4 linked regions of the Drosophila melanogaster genome follow. The protein of the gene in region 4 interacts with the protein of the main gene of each other region in a pairwise test. Each region holds a gene or a part of one and is shown on either strand. Other genes may lie near its edges.

Region 1 (4,877 bases), on a different chromosome or scaffold from region 4:
TGCCCACAATTTTCATGGTCGCAACTTTTAATGGCCCCGCAGCTGGAGAGATTGCCTATGCAAGTGGGAAATTTCGAATTTGCATTTCCTGCTCGTTGAGTTTTCACTTTGCCAGCGACCAAGGGTCTCCGTCTCATCATCATCATCATCATCATCGTCATTCCAATGGCCCGCCGCTGACTTCATCCAGAGTCCGCTATCATTAAATGCAATGATTCATCCATCCATCCATCGGAATAACCAGCGACTAAGTTCAATTGAAATTGAACACATACACATATGGAGGACTCAGGCCGAGAGAACAAGAACAAGTTTTGGCCAACTAGATGCAGCCACACCTATAAAGAACCGATCAGAAAACCAGCCTAGACCCAAGACAAAGACCAGATCCCATATACCCAATGCTAGATACCACCAGCACCCCACTCCGGATCCGAACTCACCACAAAGCCATAACTGACAATCAATTCAACTTAAGCTGGCTCTTTGCCGCGCCTTGGTCTTTTTGTCTAGACTCCGCGTTGCTGTCTTAAGTCTTTTGATTTGTTTTCCTTTTTTTTTCTCAGTTTCTGTATTTGTTTTCTTCTGGACTGGAATTGAAATTGTCGAAATTGAATTACGATCGCTGCCTGTCGGTCCGCTTCTAAACGCTTTTTTTTCTCTCTGCCCCGGAATGGCTTGATATCTTTTTTGCGGGGGGCCTGAACAGCAGCCACAAATCAGGGAGCCCCGTTAGCGGTCATAATAATACTGTTAACTAATTTACGCCACAAAAAACGGCGGCAAAAAGCGACGACAATGGGAAAATCTAGAAAAACAATCCAGCAAGTCAGCTCGAAGAAGCAAAATACATTTTGGAACTTTTTCAATGAGCTTGGCCATGGCTTTAACAGCATTCTAACGGTCCGGCCAACATGACATGGCTAATTAGGTGCGAGATTCAGTGAAATGGACCCGAAACGGAGGCTGGGAATTTGCATTGCGAAGGGCCAAAGGCATTAGCTTGACAATAATCTGCAGTTGGGGGGGCCCTGAGAATGGTGCTAAAGCCCCAAATTATCTCAATCGCCAAAATCTCCATTAGCCCGCAGCTCATTTTCGATGAGAAATCAAGTTCCGCGGCACGAAATTTTGAAAGTGATTGTGAGCGCAGATTGGCAGCTGCATCGAAATTGCAAAATGAATGTGAAAGTTGCTTAGCCGCGTGGTTATTCTTTATGAGCCGATATAGGAAGAGTACACGCCGGAATAAAGTATTTGCCTCTACCCAGCGAAAAATGTCTTTCAGACCTGTTATGGCTTTCACATCTTGTTCGAAATTAAATCCATCGCTCTCCGGGTCATCGAAATACGTGACAAACTTTATTCTTCTTTAAACATATATTGCAATCATTTATTACAGAAATGAGTAGATTAAATTGAATGGTTATATAAAGTCAAAGTCTTTTGCGTTATTGCAAAAAAAAAGAACCCATAAGCTATGCAAACTATTCTAAGGCGCATAAAAAGTTATTTATGTGCTTAAAGTATAAACATAAAAACAAATAATGGCTATAGTGCTCGATCGTAAGTTTAAGGCAGTTTTTACGAGGAAATGACCAGACCAAGACGATGCTAGCATCTGCGGGTAGAGCAAACAACCAGCGATCCCCGGAGAGCTAAGAACCCAGCTCCGCAAAGAGGCAATGGCAAAGGCAAAGACAGCCGGCCAAACAAACAAACAAACTGAAACTTGTATCTGTGAGATACACACTGGCACACAGCGAGAAATACTACATAATGATATGTGATATAAAAATGTTGGAAATATAATTTGAACTATTAAAAAACAAAATATCAAATATTTTGAATGAAACAGTTTACTAAATAATTAAATAAATTTGTTTTATTCAATTTGCAACAAGGATATATCTTTTTACACTATACTAATGCTATAGCCATTAGCTGAAACATGAAATGAAGCCATTTGATGAAACAAAACATAAATATTTAAAATATGATATATTGCTTGTATATTAGATTTATTATCTCGCTTTTTTTCCTGTGCAGCGGAGCAGTGAGCTGCAGAGAAAATAAAAGACAAGACAAACCGAGCCGAGTGGAGTTGAGTTGAGCAGCAGGCACTTGGCTGTTTGAGCGACTCCGGCTTTGGCTGGCACTTGGGTTCTGGTTTTGGCATCGAGTTGGACTTCCACTTTGGATCGCTTGGGCTCTGCAGGGCGCTGAGCGCAGGGAGAGCGGCAAAGAAGTGCCAGCAGTGGCAGTGGTGGATGGAGTGTGGGCTAAGATACATTTGCTAGACAAAACCCGCTCGCGGGATCTTTGACCTGCGATGGTGACGACCGCGCGAGCAGAACAGAACAGAACAGAAGAACAGAAGAGGGGGGGAGTACAAAAAAACAGAAGAACCAGAAGGTATTAGTATTATACCCAAAGGAATGGAACGTGGACCGTGGTGGATACTCGTCGGTTTCATTTGGTTCGAGGTGGCAAGTGCTGCCGTTGGCCTAATACAATTAACAGTAAATACCAGTTGGCCAGTTGGACTCTAATTAGCCGCTCGGTGACACTCATTCATAACTTGGGCAAAACACTTACATTACAATGTCGATCTGCTGGCTACACCGATGTCTGCATATTTTATATAGACCATATAGACACTGCTCACACACACACTCACGTCACTTGGATATTGGCCACTTTTTCCTTTTTTTATTTTTTTTTTTTTTTTGTATCTATTGGATATTCCGCGAGTCAACAAATAACCACATTTGCATGCACTTCCCGGTGGTCATTAAAAAATATTCGCCTTTGCACAGATATATGTGTGTATATTATAGCCCGTTAAGCCGTGAATATTTCAATTAGATTTCCAAATGCGTTTTATGTGTTTTCATATTTTTTTTTTGTAATTTTCTTCTGGGAACTGTGTGTTAGGGGGCCGCCAGAAAAAAATCGAATCGACGCGAACCGCGGATCGGTGGAGGCAACTCTCTCGGAGCTCGGCTCGCAGCGAACTGATCTGAACTTGGCCTCGGCCGCCATCTTAGCCCGCTTGCTTCGCCTGGAAGCGAGTTGGCCGGAGAGAGCCGCTTTCCAGGCGGAGCGGAGCGGTTCAAGCCATGCCAATTGGAATGGCAAGCAACAGTTTCAGTTCAGTTGGAACAGAGCGCTCAGTTGGTGAGGACGTGTTCGCGGAGGTAAGTGACTACCGAAGAATATTTTAATAAAGCATCTAAAATATCATATAAAATATGTATTAAAGTTTTTTGAAAAAATATGTGTTGGATTTTTCCTAATTGTTTATTGTGTAAAATTTTAGTTTTCAGTTTTAGCCAAATACCAATTTATAATCAAGTATCTCTACATCTCAATCTCACTTTTACACTCTTGATATTCTCTCTTCCCTCCCTGGAACTGAAAATCAGCTCCTAACAAACCACTCTTGAGTTACGAACAGAGTGTTTTCGGCCCAAAGAGCACGAGAAGTATAAACAAACAAAAGCGGCTCTCCCAGCGGTGGCTATGAAAATGATCGGCAGCGACTACGTACTGGAAGCCCACAACATTTTCCACACCACCGAGGTACGTTCTCTTTAGACTCGTGAAAACCCCCTGCTATTAAACCTTTATTGTTTTCTTTTTGGCCTGAACAACAGGTGGATGGTGGTGGCTGTTTCAATGGAGCCGGCAATTCGGCCCTGGTGCTCAAAGGCGTCAATCTAACCGTGCACAGCGGCGAGGTTATGGCCATTCTGGGCTCGAAGGGTATATTTTTAATTTACATTTTGTTAAAACAAAATAATAATAATCATTTTACCAACTTTAGGTAGCGGCAAGAGAGCTCTTTTAGATGTTATTTCTAGACGTGCCGATGGAGCAACTCGTGGTCAGGTGCTACTCAATGGATCTCCGCTCTCCAAGGCATTGTTCCAACAGAGATGTGGCTATGTCACCCAATCCTGCACCTTTGTTCCTGGTCTAACGGTGGCCCAAACACTACACTATACCCCCACTATAGTGAGTATTTGTATAAAATAATGAATATGAAGAGATTTTAAGTAATAACTGACTGTGTTAATACCCAAACCCTTCTTAGTTGAGTGGCTATCTGAAGAGTTCCAAAGTGCGCCAAGTGCTGGCGGATTTGGCCCTTTCCCAAGTGGCGCATAAGAGAGTGGAGTATCTTAATATCAGTGAGGCACGGCGTCTGGCTATTGGAATACAGTTGGTCAGAGATCCTGGTAAAATGATGAATATATCACAAAGATTCCTTAAATAACAAAAATGTTATTTTAGTCATGCTATTGCTGGATGAGCCGACCCATGGCCTCGATCCCTTGAGTGCCTATCTGCTGATATCCATTTTGTCCAACACGGCCAAGAAGACGGGCTGTGGAATTCTTCTGTCGCTGGAGAAACCTCGCTCCGATGTGTTCCCATTCCTGGATAGAGCCCTATTCCTCTGCCTGGGCGGAGTGGTCTATTCAGGAGGCACTCGTGCCATGCTGGAGTACTTTCATGGCATCGGATTCCCTTGTCCACAGCTCGAGAATCCCTTGATGTACTATCTCTGCCTGTCCACTGTGGATCGTCGCAGTCGGGATCGATTCCTGGAGTCTAGCCAGCAGATCGAGGCGCTGGTGGAACGTTTCTCTCGGGAAACACCGATCTCGGATGCCCCTCTAAACAACATGGGTTCTGGGAAAGTGCCTCTGGCCTATGGAAAGCCTGGAGAGCTCAAAGTTTGGGTTATGCTGTATCTGTAAGTTAAACTTACTTCTTTTTTTTCAAATATGATAAAATTCTTGACTTCGTTTTTAGGAAACTATTAGCATCAACCTTCTCCTGTGGACTCGTTGGTATGAAGACACTAT
Region 2 (4,928 bases), on a different chromosome or scaffold from region 4:
CAAATATATTTTAAACTTTGAGTCTTAAAACAAATGGCTTTCGATTGTTATAAAGATTGTATAAATGCTATATATATAAATAGGAAAATATTCGAGTTGTTCTCTAAATCTTGGACATCAAAAATGCATGGAATGCGGACAGAGAGATTCACGCTGCTCTAAGCAACTTAATACAAAATGAGAAATGCTTAAACACAATAACATTTCATTTCGCTACAGCTCATCCTTTTTAGGCCCTATGTAAATAAGTTGATCCTCCGGCTTAACCTCGTATTGCAGCAGCTTCACATATCGCTTGAGCAGCTTGCGCCAATAGCACTTGATGTCCTTCATGCGCAAATGCTCCCAGATGAAGTCGTATCCACGCTGAGCGATCTCCTGGGCCAGCGCATCGTTTTTCTTGAAAAAGGACAAGATGTGCTCGTACTCCTGCTGACTGGGGTAGCTCTTGAGCGGCACATAGTGCACCCAGGGCTTTAGTTGGTCGTAGAAGAACTCCTGCCACTCGTCGCCCACATGGAAGACCAGCGACTTGCAGAGGAACAAGTGCTTCAGACGAAAACTGGCGGCCACACCGCGGAAATTGAACAAGTACTTGTACTTGCAGTGGTCCTCGAAGGACACCTCATCAGCAGCCGGTGCGTCCAGTGTATCCTTAGGCGACTTCCAGCCCTGATTTTTGGTGTATTGAGCCTCGACTAGCTCCGGATTGCGGCGCGAGAGCAGAATAAGAGAATCACGTTCGTCCGAGGTGCGTGAACCGCGAAAGAAGCCCAGACTGCGTTTCTGTGACCAGGGTATAGCTGCCGCTCGCTTCTCCAGCTTCTCGCGCATCTGATCCCAGCGTCCAATGCCACGAGGATGGAGCTTGGTGGCCGGTCCTCCGGCCCAGAATGTCCACGCTGGATACATGATGTCGCGGTACTCCTTTGTCTTGGAGAAGGAGAAGACGGGACCACCAGCCGCGTTACCCCACGCCGCATTCAGCTGCGGATAGTCCCTGGTATTGATGATCAAGTCCATGTCGGGCAGCGTAGCCACCAGCGGCAGCAGGAAGTGTTCAATGCCCTCACAGCGGGCTGGGAACATGCAGTTGGCATCCCGGTACAGGCGATGTCCGTAGATCTTGTATTTGGTGCCGTAACGCGCTGAACTCTCGATCATCTGCCGGGTGACACCTGTTGACTTGTAGGGCGCGAGATCCCGTTTCAGAACATTTGCGTGGCAGGAGCAGTCGCTGTCCTGGGGATCACTGCTGCACGGCTTGTAGTCGGCATTGGCTTTTTCGATCTGGCGACGTATCTTGAAGCTAACTAAATTAATTGATTAATTAATTAATCGAAGCCGGCAACAAGTTGCTTACATTCATCCTCGTTTATTTGGTCGGGTTCACTTTGTGCACAGGATTTTTGATCGGCACTGCAAAGTCCGTCATCTTCTGCACCTCCTGTTCCTACCAAACTAATTAATAATACGACTATTAAATGATTTATTAGCATTTCTTTGGATGTAAACAAATTTGTTGGCCTTTGATTGCGGCGTCAGCAATAGGGTTGCCAAGTCAACTGAAACTATCGATATTCCAGAAATGTTTTTAAGGACATAGTTTTTAAAGTAAAATGAATGTCTACAATTGATGTAGAAAATAAAAGACTTTCTGCCATTTAGCTGCAAATAACTTAAGAGGAGAAGTAGTTGTGTTTTTAATAACTTTTTGTTACCTGGCAGCCCAGGCAGCAAAGCAGTGATTGAACTGTTACTTTCTTAGGCAGACCATGTCACTGCATTTGCAGGCAAAGCCCTGCAGTAGTAACCATTATTTTGTATGACCATCCATGTGATGGTCACCCTATGCGAGTAACTGTTCGCCGAGTTTTACTTTTGACGCGGTGTGCACACACTGGCCGATCCAACCATTATAAGAAAACCAACAAGAAACGTCGAAAGTTTTCTCCGTGTTAAAGCCAGCCAATAGCCAAATTACAAACGAAAACGACGATTTGCAATTTGCAAATTATGCGTGCGGCACCTAGTGCAATCGAAACCACGTAAACCCAACGAACGCGAGTGTTTTAGACCACCTGCAACCTGAAACAACCACCATTGTACATAATTTACACGAACAATTTTGCAACGACAACAACAAAGGACGCCGCGCTGAAAGAGAGAAGTTGACATAACTGCAAAAAGTAAATTGTATTTAACAGTGGTGGGCAACTAAATAAAGCCCGGATTGTAATATTGGCAACGAAAAATCGTAGTGGGAGTGGCCCAATTGCGAAAACGATGTTGTTTTGTTGAGACAATTGCCAAAAAGCCACCAAAAGTTCAACTAAAAAAGGTAATACATATGTATTTTTATTTATTTGCAAGTGTATCTGCATCTGTATGTGTGCGCGCGCGTGAGTGTGTGTGTGGGCGTACTACGAATAACAGTTAATTGAGCACTCATCGATTTTTTAGCCCCTTTATTGTGGCTCCTAAAAAAGGCAACTTAAATTCATTTCACCTCACGATCCGATCGCCAGATAAAATACAAAAAATAGAAAAAAAATGGAAGAAAAAACTGTTGGAAAAGTTGCCAGCCATCGTCATTAAGTTGATTTGCTACCGCCGCCGATGCTGCGATTTAATTTACCTGGCATTTGGTTTGCTTTCGAGAGCTCCAGTTTCCCATTCCGCCGCATTCCACCTGGGCTTTTCGTTTCTCGACTTTGATTTTCGTTTCCCATCCAGCGGCCGATTTTCCTGCTCGCCGACAAAAAAAAATCGTATCGCTTTCGTTTTCACATTGGACGGCGCGATATACTGGCTTTTTGTTTTTGGTCCGCGACCTAGGGTCGCATTGCCCCGCCCCTCCCGCACCAGCCCGACCGTCCATCAAAGCACCTGACTAATTAGTGTTGAGTTATTAACTTGATAATTATCGCTAGCCACGAGCGAGGTGCACTACTGGAGTTCTGCAGTGCAGGCCTACTTCCGTAACTCTAAACATCTCTTTCATTTTCCTAAGATATATGTATGTATAAACCATTTTAATGGCTTACTTTAAATCTTATTGTACAACATGGATTAGAGTATGTTAGGAGTAATCTCCAACTTATTTAATGTACTCATTTCGTTGTAATAATGTAGTATGATATCTTAATCAGATTCAACATTGTTGTTGATGAAAGTTAGCGGAAGTTGAATTGTATCTGTGCCTTGCAGTGACTAAGAACTAACTTGGCTATCTTTGAGGTCTTTTCGTTAAACTCGTTTGGAACACCATATCGAAATACTGAAAACGTTAAATACAAAAAAAAAAAAAAAAGAAACAAACACAGTAATTCGAGCTTGGCGCTGACTAAAGCTTCGCTTTGTTTATGGAAATATATGTGGTCATAATCAAGCTTTTGGAACCGAAGTCACACGTAAATCTTTTCTGCGCATTCAGACGTATCGATGCGATTGGGAGCCCCTCGACTAGCGTTTCCAATCAATGGTTCTTGGGAGAAAAACTTCGAATCATTTGCATTTTCAGTGGCGTGGCGACCCTCGCCTTCTAATGACTCGATTGATTTCCATTTTGGGCAACCTTTCTCGTTTGTGTAATGCCGGAAGTCGTTTGTCGTAACTTCTTGTATTGATTATAGATAATAATCGAAGAATGCTTTCCGTAGAACGTCTGCCAAATGGTCGTTGGCCAGCTAAAACAGCTGCCATTAGCCGCAGTCACGCTGTCTGGCTTGGGTCATACATCATTTATGTACTCCACTCCTTTGGGCAGGCAAATGACTGAACCCCCGCCCACCACCGATAACCACCCATTTCCACCAACTCCCACTCCGAAGTTCACGTGAAATGTGGCATGCCTAACCCAACCAGATGATTCATCATAACGTGGCATAGGCAGTTTATGCAGATTCCCTACCTTCCTTCCCTGCCAGCCAAGTGGCTGTAACACATTTTCATTTATGCTCCGCTCTCGCACACAATTTCTCCACCCTCTCGCATTTTTCCGTAATTTCCTGACTGATGAGTGAGCCTGCGCATTGGAAAATCGCTTTTCCAGAGCGGTAACTCGCCTGCCGAGTGGTGTGTTGAATTTCTGTTAGCTTCAGGGCTGGGTTGCTATTTTGACATGCTCTTCGGAACTTCTGGATTCATTATTATAGTTTTATTTTTAATGAGATTTTAAGAGCTTATCAATTTTACTACAATTTCCACATATATTGCCCTCTAAGACACGCTTTTGTTTAGAAATTGTTGCCGTCTTGTTAATTCAATTCCACACACTTTCTTCTGCCGCAGACTGAGACTGAAAATATATCCATTTCGCTGCGCATCGCATGTCCAGCTGTGTCAGCTTCTTTCGAATTCTTTGATGTTTCGAAATTGCCTGTCCGTAGATAATTCAGTGCGATTATATTGCGTGCCTGCTGACTGACCGCTCGTACATCATTAGCTCATCGGTGGGGTTTTGTTAGCTAATGGCCATATACTGCAACTGCATTAATAACATAATGTTTGTGTCATTAACCTGCGAACGGAACGAGTTTCCTGCTCGCGCAGCTGGAAAATCGCTTGCCTTTCGGCGGTGGCGGCTCTAATCTGCATAGAATGCGGATCGTCTTGGAAATGTCAGCTTCTCCCCCTCGCAAGAAAACCAGTTAACCAACTAATAGTGGGCCAAATTGCGATTGGTAGTATTTCAGTAGGCTATTCGAACGCATGCGTGACCGCGTTCGACAGTTGGTTTTGTTTACATTTTGGGTTATTGATCGGCTGGCGCACGATTTGATTCTCCGTGCGCTTATCATCAGCACGCACACCATGGTGATACTACACATATATGTAGCTAATGCGGCGGATCTGGTCATGGGCTCTGTGTCATGGAGAAGCATTCGGCTGGCTATCAGCACGAGCATGCTGCTCCAGTTTTCCGC
Region 3 (4,568 bases), on a different chromosome or scaffold from region 4:
CATTTCAAAACTGGCTGGATTTCGGTGTGCTCCTTTTTCTGAAGCAGCTCCACCTGGTCGTCCGAAAAATTCATTTCAGCAAGCCTTTTGCAATCTCGTTCGTCATGATCCGAGCAATCCTCACACAAAGCTAACAGACGGCACTTTCTAAGGGTTTACATAAGATTCGTAAATGGATAACACATTTGTATGGAGTCCACCTACCGACAAAAACTCTCGGTTAGATTAAAGCACTTGGAGCAGCGTCTTTCGCCCATTAGGGGCAAAACCACGATAGGATTCTCCAGCAGCAGGGTCTCGCCAGCCCGAACATTACAGAGGGCAACCGCAAATCTTCAGGGAAACCCACAGGGGTTAAATATTTTAAATGGGTTATAGATGCACCCACCTGCCCAGCGTGTCATTCTGCTTTATCTCGCACTTCCTTGCAAAATCGTCGGTTACTGCGGCCATTCTCTGTTTCCCGTTCCCTTTGGCTACCTTTGGCATACTGACAACACAACCAGCGCCATGCTGGCAACTTATTTTTAATTGAACGACAATTCTTTATTTATTTCTTGGTCAATGATTCCCCCCACCCAGCCATACGTTGAACCATGTCGCCGGTACACAATGTAAAAGTGGCAACAACTGAAGGGAGCGCATTGTGTTCGCTTCCCTTCGACTAATCAAATTTGTTTTAGACTAAAAATTGCCGGAGCAGGGCCACAAAGTGGATATAAGATATGTACCCAAAATGGGGATATTATCTGCCGTATTTCTTCAAATCGGACTCAATCCGCTCCAGCTCCATTGAAATCCGGTCTGCAAGATAGCCTTCTGCCGAGTTTTCTGGCTCAAAGCGAAGTAGGTCCATTGCTTCCGTGGCCACCAGACTCGCGGTCCTTAAATGAGCCTGTGAATTGCATTTATTTAATAATTGCAATTTTAAAAGGGTATTCACTTTACTCACCACATATTCTTTTTTGCTCAGATCACTTTCGGCAAATTGCAATTCCACCAGCTCCACCAAGGCCAGCAAGTACTCAAACAGACCAATGGCATACAGCTTGGAGATGCCTGGAACCACAGCCCGACAGACGGGCAGTAAGTCGGAGCAGAGTTCCACCCGGCGGGCGAGAAGTTTCTTGCACGGCTGGTCCATGGAGTTCATTAAAGCAGCCGCTCGCAGAATACTGGCAATGTTCTGCTTGATGTCCAGCAGCATGAAATGATTGGGATGGAGCAGTGGCCCGTACTGGGTCAGTAGAGCTTCGTATACCTGCAGGTCACCCATGGCGTCTACTAAGGCCGATCCCACTGCAGCCTGTAGTTCGTGGACCTCGGCAGCGGTTAACAGGGCTCTACAATCCGGGCAGCGCCAGTCTCCAAGTTTTCCATTTGAATCAATCTCGCAAACTGAAAATCCGGGGCACTCCTTGCACTTCAGGCTGCTCATGTGGGTGCCCATCTCGGTCGGATCCAGACAGCGCGAGCAGATACACTCCAGTCTTCTACTTAGACGCAGTTGGTGTTGTCTCTGACTGGTGCCCATCAGAGGATTGGTGTACGAGTTGTAGATGATGTCGCCAGGCTGCAGGGGAACCGCCGCATATAGCTTCATGTTGAACTGTTCATCCAAGGCCACCACCGTGTTTGGAACGCAGTGGTGCGGTAAAGTAGCACCCCAAACAAAAATTCCCTTCAAGGTATCACCATCCTTTGCGGTCACCTCGAAGGAATTACTGTCGATACGTATGCAATGGGCGTGAAGTGCATCCGAAGTTAGCTCCTGAGTGGGTAGAACATCCGCTAGGCCACTCTCCATTAGTGGACGCACCACTAGCTCCTCGTGCTCTTGCCACATTCCTTCTCCGTCGCGGTAATCACTCAGATTTATAGGAACATCGATGAGCATTTGGCAATCGCCTTTTGTACGAGGATTCTCTAGCAGAAGAAGGAGCTTTAGGAGTCCACATATGCCAAAGTTCTTCACAAGAATATCCTTGCAGAGGGCTTTTCCTGCTCCGCTGGTGAAAAACTCACACTCGAATTCATCATGCTGGTTGCAGTCCATGCACAGGGGAAATACCTGACACCTTCGGCATATCACATAGGATTCCTGAAGGCATTGCGCGCACTTCAGCTGATGGCATTCCCAGTGTGGAGCTACCAGCAAGGGTCGCTCCTCCAATATGGTATCTCCCGGTTCGATGGCTATACTAGCCACCAGATGCCTGCACAGAATTACACTTTAACTATTGTTTTAGAAAGCTATTTGAACTTACCTGCCCAACTTCTCATCGTGAGCATGCTGAATATTTTCGCCAAATTCTTGCATCGATTACGTCTGTTGCCTGGCGAGAAAAGTAATTTAGTGATTCTGCCATCGCCGTCGTGGCTTGTGGTTCGTCTACTCACCTAAAACGCACTGAGCAATTATAAATATACTCTGCAGTGCTGCTGGCTGAGGAATATCCCTCTTTTTCAGGAGCCCTGTCGTATTGCTAAGTACTTTTGCTAATTGCGTGCATAGCTCGAACGAGATGATGACTTATTTATAGAATCACTCGTTTGGAAGAGGTGATGCCGCACTAACGTGTCTACTTTTCACTTTATTTTCCCTTTACGGGAAAGATATGTATATGGACATTTTTGTGCTATTCTTCTCAATAACTATGTTGTTTATTGTTCTTTATAAATGTATCAAACATTGTGTGTTTATCTGATATTTTTTAAGTCGATAATATGCATATATATATGTATTTAATTAGTTTTACGAGGGGACAATGTTAGACTTAATTTAAAGTGTTATCGGCTCTTGTGGAATACATAATATTTTAAGAAAACAAATGAAGCTACATTAACAGTAGTAAAAGGCATGCTCTAAGAAAGGCTACTCGTAAAACATAGACGCCGCCAATTCAATTGGTCAAATGCGTGCGGGAAAAACAAGAACAAATATGTATTTTATACAAAAAAAAATTAAACAAGTTTCCTATTCCTCATCCTCAGTGCTAGTAATCCTCATGGCTTCCGCTGTCTCTACCTGGCCGCTGGCGCTTGGTGATGCTGTGGGAATCGGCGTAGGCGTTGGCGTCAGCGAACTGTTGGAAATGGCGTCAATATCATCGTCAAACTCTACATCCTCAGCATGCATCAGCTTCTTTAGATCAAACGGAGTTTCCTGCGAAAAGACACAGTATCAACATTTCTGATATTCTACTTTATTTATTTTGAGTCATTACCTTTACTTCATCAACTCGCTGTCGATCATGCAGCGCACTCAAGAGCTCGCGAAGGTGTTGATTCTCTTTACGCAATCGCTCCCTTTCCATATCGCGTTCGTTAATTTTTGGCTGTTATTAGGTAAATAGAAATTATAGTTCTTATCTCGGCTTAAATAAGTTAGAACCTACCAAAAGCATGGAAATCTGCTCATTCAGTATTGTTACAATGCTGCTGAGTGCATGGCAGGGCACACTCGGCTCCAGCACACTAGCGTGCTGAATGCGATTCGGCCCACAGGTGCTGCTCGATCCTCCAGTTAACTTATCCGTCTCTTTCGGCGATTCAGTTGGTGATGTTTGAGTGGAGCTATCGACCGTGGATGCCACACCTTCTTCGATCTGTAGGAGGACATTAATTAAAAGATAACTTGTCACAAATTGATAACATTTTGTATACTTACGGTTTCCTCGTTGTCTTCCTTTTTGTCAGCTACAGATTTGCTTGCGTTTTCAGCCGTTTTTATCTCCCGGCTCTGGCTTGGTAATTCATCCACCGATGCTGCAGCTTCATTCTTAGAGGTCGTTGGATCTGCCACTTCCTTTGTGATATCCGCCTCCACACATTGCCTCTCTTCATTGCATGATTCACTTAGCTTATCTGACGGCACAGTTTTCACTTCATTATCTTCACCCTTGGTCTCCGTCTTATCGCCTTCGAGTGGTTCTTGTTCCAGTAATCCCTCCGGAACGGCATCAGTGGATTGACGTTTCGAGGCATCTATAACAGATTGTGAAGTTTTCGGCTCAGTATTGAAAGGAGCCAGTGGCGTTGTGGGCCGCTCATGTGGTTTGGACGGAATAGCCGGTAAGCGCAGTTCGTCGATCTCACAGTATCCGTCATCGTCTTCGTGTATGGCAACTTCGTCAAGATCAAGAGTTTGTAGTTTGGGCATCAGCCGCGATGGCGGTATCTGGGCCTGAGCCTGGGCATGCTGCCTATTGGGAGGCGGCAGCGGTGGTGGTGATGAAGAAAACGATGAGGATGGTGCCACCTTCTTACGAAGCTTTTCCTTCTCGTGACAGTGGCCACAAACCGCCGTGGACACCGCTGAGACCTCTTGCTCAGGCGTGACGTGCATGTACTCGTTCAGCATCTTGGTCAGGGTTTGAATCTGATCGTAAGCAGCTAAAGCAATATCTGCACTGTCTTTCGGCGCCTCTGGCATCATGGCAATGTCCACAATCTGGTCGTAGTGTTCCACTGGCAAACGGAAGATATCACAAATGATTTTCTGCTTCTCCAGCAAATCATTCCTAATGGAGGCGTCCAAGCGGCGTAACTTCTCTCCTGGTGTCAAC
Region 4 (5,067 bases):
CAGCAGGTCGTGTGTGATGTAGAAAAGTTCCGGACAACGACTGGCATTTTTGACAGTTCGTCTGGGGGAACAGTCACAAATCGCCACGACTACTTGATTGCCCGGGTAGCCGGATTCGTTCAGACTCGCTTGAAATTTCCACTGCACTTGTGCGTCCTGACATTCCTTTTGGCTCCCAACTACAGCATGCCCACTCTAATCCATAGCCTCCATCGTTTTCAAGGTCCTGCCGTTTCCAATGGTTGCCCCCCGCTCTTCATTTACCCGGAACCATTGTTTCGGATATCAAAACCCGGACTCGGTGGCCTATGTCTATATGATCTTCAAAATATGTTGAGCGTAGAGTATTCTTTTTTTCATGACTTTGTTTAATGCAGTAATATTAACCTGCATTATTAAAAAAAGCCTACAGCTTAAGAAAATGTATTTAATATGCTAACTTATTTTCTAGATTATTTCTAAATACAAACTAACAATGAACAGAAAACAAATCGTATATAGAAATTATAAATAACTTGAATCCAGCTAATAAACTAATATTAAGGTGTGTGCTAATGTAATCCATGTGAATGATATCCACGGTTGAGCTGGCCTAATGTATTAATAGCATGTTGCTATCAATAAATGCATATTTGATGCTTAGTTTTCAATAACAAACATGGGCGTACCGCCGATCCCGGCGCGTAGCAACCTACTACTGGCCGGGAAGCGGACCCAACAGCTGGCGAGCGTGTTATGCGGTTGCCAGGAGAAAGGCGACACTAGAAACTTTGCGTCGGGTAAGTCCAAAGATTACTGTCGTAGAAAAATATTTCTTGGACGTCAGTTTATTGTTAGTTCTTGCTATGATTAGGGGACTACAAATCTATGTTTTTTTCTGCAGGTATATAATTTGAGTTTTCTGTGGTATTTGGGCCTTCTTTTGCTGCTGCTGCAACAGTTGAAGTTGAAGTTGCTGCAGATGATGTGGCTTCAATTGCAGTTGCTGTTGCTCCTGCTGTTGTTGCTGCTGCTGTTGTTGCTGCTGCTGTGGTTGTTGCAGCTGCTGCTGTTGTTGCTGCTGTTGTTGTTGCTGCTGCTGTTGTTGCTGTTGCTGTTGTTGCTGCAACATTAGCTTCTGCTTTTCCTGGTACTGTTTCTGCTGTGTTTGTATTTGTTGCTGGTGAGCCAGGCGTCGCCTCTGCTTCTCGAACTCTACCAGATGCTCCTGCTGTTTGCGCACCAGCTCGTCCATCACCTCGTGGTTGTAGGTGGAGTGCAGCATCAGGCCGAGCAGGTTCGCTCGCGAGGTGAGCTGCTGCCGCATCACGCGCTCCTGCTCCATCAGGTCGTCCATCTTGAGCCATTGACGCACACGCTCCAGATCTATCTCAGCACGCCGGATCTTCTCCCAGGCGTAGTGCTTGAAGCAATTCTTCTTTGGCGCACGACAAAACTCGCCCGTGGGATTGAAGACGTTGTTCACTAAGGGCGAACCACACACATCCGTATCGTTCACCTTCGGATCCTTGCTGTGCTCCGGACACAATACTCTCAATCGCTTACAGTAAGTCTTACTTGCCGGATTGTAGAAATCACAAAACATATTGTTTCCCTCCATTCGCGTTTTGAATATGCTCCCGAAGCTGGCCTGCGATTCGTATTTGTTGAAGCACTTCTCCATATGCTTGATGGCAGTGCGCGAGTGAATCTCGTGGCCACAGGTGATGCAGTACATGCTCTGTTCGTCCTCCATGTCGGCGGTGTCTTGTGACCCCAATGTATCAATGGAGCTTCGTTTGGCTCGCTCCACCACCATGTTGAGCTCTTCGGAGCGCTTCTCTAGCTCGGCAAGTGCGAAACGCACCAGGGACTGCTTATGACGAATGTTATCAAGATGCTTGCGTGTTTCCTCGGCGGCGCGGCTGGGCGTTAGATTCCACTCTTGCAGTCGTTGCGGCAGAACCTGAGAGTGTAAAGGACTTTGGTGTTTAATTGTCATAGTCTGGCCAAAAAATGAAACTAACCTGGAAGATGCGTTTTGTGGCCAGATTGAAGCCACACTTATCGCTGCAGTACTTGCTCTGCGGTCTCGCATGGGAGCAGCAATTGGGTCCGTAGCACTGCCGGATGCCTTGTAGCTCCGGATTGAGGAATATCTCCGGACTGGCCGCCCGCGGGCCCACTTGGACATTGCGACTCTTGGGTGCCGCCTTTTCCCGCTTCCTACTTGGGCCGGCTTGAGTTGCCTGCGACTCCTTTAAGACCGTCGCCGCCTGGACAACGCAGGTGCGGAATATGCAGCGCGGCTTGTGGCCCACGCGAACGCGGCACGCGTCGCACTGGTTGCAATTGGGACGCCGGCATCCCTCACAGGTACCACAACGTTTGCCCATCTTTGGTTCTCGGGCGCTGCTGTTTTTGCGCTTCGCTGCCGCAGTGGTCGGTGGCGGCGCTTGCTGGCTGGTTGTTGCGGACGCCACCGGTGCAGCAGCAGGCGCAGCTCCCGATGGACCTACGCCCGGGGCATTGAGACTTGTAGAGGCGGCGTTCGATGCGGCTGCCCGTTCGGTGGCCACCAGGCGGAATATGGTTTGTAGTTCGGGATTCTCCTTTTTGCAGCGCCGGCAGTAGTACTGTTTGATGTGTTTAGCCTCCTTCTCGGTGATCCCTATACAGTCGCCGTGGTACCACTCCTCGCAACCATCGCAGCCTCTGGAAAGCGAAGGGTACAAGTAGTTAGCCGGGATCTAGCCCTTTAAGGCCATTCAACTCACATCATGAACCTGGAGCAGTCGGAGGAGCGGCATATGCAGTACGCTTGGTCTTCCTGCTTTAGAATGGTGGCTATCTTGGACTTGCGCTCAGGCAAATCAAATTCCCGTGCGATCTCCCGCCTGATTTCCTCTTTCTGTTTGGAAACCTCCTTTGTAGTTAAAAATATGATTGCCGTGCAGCGGGTGAAACTTACGGTCTTCTTATATTTGCGCTTGTCCGTCATCTCGCAGCAATCTTTCCGACAACAAATCCAGTCCAAATCCAAATCCGTCAATTAAGTTTCATGGAATTTTTTTTTGCGATGGAGATGGTGAATGAAAGGATATCGATAGCCTACTAATAATGTATTGCAGACAATCGATAGGTTCTGGCCTAATAAAATATATAATATTTAGCATAAAACTACGTTGTAGATTTTAATTGATGTATGACTATACAATAAAAACAATTTTAGGTATTTATTGTAAGCTGTGTATAAATATAAAATGCTTCGTAACACTTATATCGAGAGAACTAATTCCATAGTCTTAATAACAAACGATAGTGTGTTCGAGATCTATGAGATTAAATAGAGTTCTTGAAAGAGAAACAACGTGAATATAAAACCTACAAAAGATTGTTACTTTATATATACCTAATTTTTATTTTTCGATAATCTTTAAGATTTTGCCGCGGCCCAGTATTTTCGAAGTTTCGTAAAATTAAACATCGATAGAAAAATTAAGCATCGAATTACCACTGACATTGTCGGCTTTTTCTCACCTCTAATAACCGCGCGGTTTTTTCTTTGTATTTCGTTACCATTTTTTCTCAACTGAACTGAATTGAATGTGAATAGTCTGCAATTATGGCGGCCCTGAGCAACCTAAAACAGTGTCCGCCGTTCTCCACGCTGCCGGATCTGGCGCTGCGGCACAATCACATCCCAGAGCTGGAACGCTATCCGCAGATAAACCTGAACAGCGAACTTCTGGCCAATCCGGCTGGTCAGCGGTACTACGGCGGACAGAGCTTCGTATCTGTGAATGAGGGTGTCCTAAAGCGCATAGCTCGCAGCTTCTTTAATGGCGGATTCTGGAAGACGCTGGAGGAGGCACGCAGCCCAGAGACCAGGGAGCAGGCGCCGCTTATTGCCCAGGCGGGTGATTTAATCGCACAATTTCTGGGCCTGGCCACCGGCCTGAGGATCCTCCCGCACACCCAGCAGCTTAGTGCAGAGCGTATTGCTCAGTTCGTGGAGACCAGGTGGGTGGGGCGCAGCCAACTGACCAATAATACCTAAACCTTACTGTCCCATTCATTCAGGGATTGGCTCAACAGCGATGTGCGCTATCTTGCCTGGAATCAGCACTTCTTTTGCTTAGCCGTAGCCGGTGTAGACGATGTGGTGCGCATCTACACAAAGAGTTCCAGTGCGACCACTGCCACTGTTTTAAAGAGTCCATCCCAAACGCAGATCACCTGCATGGCGTGGCGTCCACTCTGCGCTTCCGAGATCGTGATAGGTTGTCGGCAGGGTCTGTGTTTCTGGGAAGTGGACAGCACTTTGCATTTGGGACGCACAAATGCACCCAGCGAGATTTTTAAATAGTCAGTATAGAAAATTTATCGTTAGTTGGTAAATACATAACTTATTTTCCCTTTTAGCCCAAACAATCTGCCAATAACCTCGATGCAGTGGAACAAGGATGGCACCCAGTTGGCCACCGCCTCAATAGGAGATCGTTCCATTATTATCTGGCAGCCGGACACCGGAATGATGCAGCCACTCAAGCGTTTGGGTCCGCCGGGCTCGCTGCTGAAGTGGTCGCCGGATAATGACTGGCTGTTCGCAGCCACCGTGGATCGGGTGTTCCGCGTGTGGAACTGCCACCAGCAATGGACCACCGAGCGATGGGTGTGCGGTCCCGGAGGCTATGTCCAAACAGCCTGTTGGTCGCCCTGCGGTCGCTTCCTGCTCTTCGTCAGCAGTGCCGAACCGATTCTCTACCGCCTGCAGTTCGTGCAACAGAGTCTGCTATCCTGTAAGTACGAAAGCTTTGAGTACGTATTCAGGGCAGTCTGCTCCCAGTGTCTGAACTGAAACGGTGGTCAGATACAAGGGTGCGATTTGGGGCTGCCCCAGATCAAAGCAGTCAGTAACAGGTTGGCGGCTGTTGCAGCTTACAGACCGCCTGTATAATGCTGACTACAAAAACAAAAACCGGTACCAATGTACTAGTTGATATTTAACATATTCCGTTTTTGTATCTCCTTGCAGCTTCGGCGGATGAGAAGGAAATCCTGCCCATTGCAGATCTAAATGCTTGT

The links.
Region 1: the proteins of Cfp1 (region 4) and CG31121 interact in a two-hybrid assay, tested with the Drosophila melanogaster proteins (one large-scale study listed by BioGRID).
Region 2: the proteins of Cfp1 (region 4) and Usp12-46 interact in a two-hybrid assay, tested with the Drosophila melanogaster proteins (one large-scale study listed by BioGRID).
Region 3: the proteins of Cfp1 (region 4) and SmydA-7 interact in a two-hybrid assay, tested with the Drosophila melanogaster proteins (one large-scale study listed by BioGRID).

What each region holds. Positions count from the first base shown.
Region 1 is NT_033777.3:24,891,587-24,896,463, forward strand, and holds the start of CG31121 (uncharacterized protein), read right to left. Parts: upstream 3,020-4,877; 5' UTR 2,599-3,019; intron 250-2,598; exon of another isoform or gene 1-249. Other genes in the region: CG11069 (uncharacterized protein), read left to right, coding at 3,526-3,585, 3,660-3,768, 3,830-4,020, 4,100-4,244, 4,300-4,765, 4,825-4,877.
Region 2 is NT_033777.3:22,749,026-22,753,953, forward strand, and holds the start of Usp12-46 (Ubiquitin-specific protease 12/46), read left to right. Parts: upstream 1-1,875; 5' UTR 1,876-2,341; intron 2,342-4,928. Other genes in the region: rumi, read right to left, coding at 214-1,313, 1,364-1,499. UniProt on the Drosophila melanogaster protein: Catalytic component of the Usp12-46 deubiquitylase complex.
Region 3 is NT_033778.4:17,042,730-17,047,297, reverse strand, and holds SmydA-7 (SET and MYND domain containing, arthropod-specific, member 7), read right to left. Parts: upstream 2,556-4,568; 5' UTR 2,401-2,555; intron 2,349-2,400; exon of another isoform or gene 2,337-2,348; 5' UTR 2,321-2,336; coding exon 2,268-2,320; intron 2,217-2,267; coding exon 953-2,216; intron 896-952; coding exon 746-895; 3' UTR 530-745; downstream 1-529. Other genes in the region: SmydA-6 (SET and MYND domain containing, arthropod-specific, member 6), read right to left, coding at 1-147, 205-333, 389-453; RhoGEF2 (Rho guanine nucleotide exchange factor 2), read right to left, coding at 2,978-3,166, 3,228-3,338, 3,399-3,608, 3,671-4,568.
Region 4 is NC_004354.4:9,269,910-9,274,976, forward strand, and holds Cfp1 (CXXC finger protein 1), read right to left. Parts: upstream 3,052-5,067; 5' UTR 2,981-3,051; coding exon 2,757-2,980; intron 2,695-2,756; coding exon 2,007-2,694; intron 1,946-2,006; coding exon 866-1,945; 3' UTR 525-865; downstream 1-524. Other genes in the region: aladin, read left to right, coding at 3,605-4,002, 4,063-4,347, 4,405-4,781, 5,018-5,067. UniProt on the Drosophila melanogaster protein: Component of the SET1 complex that specifically di- and trimethylates 'Lys-4' of histone H3. Essential for Set1 association with chromatin and trimethylation of histone H3 at 'Lys-4' at transcription puffs.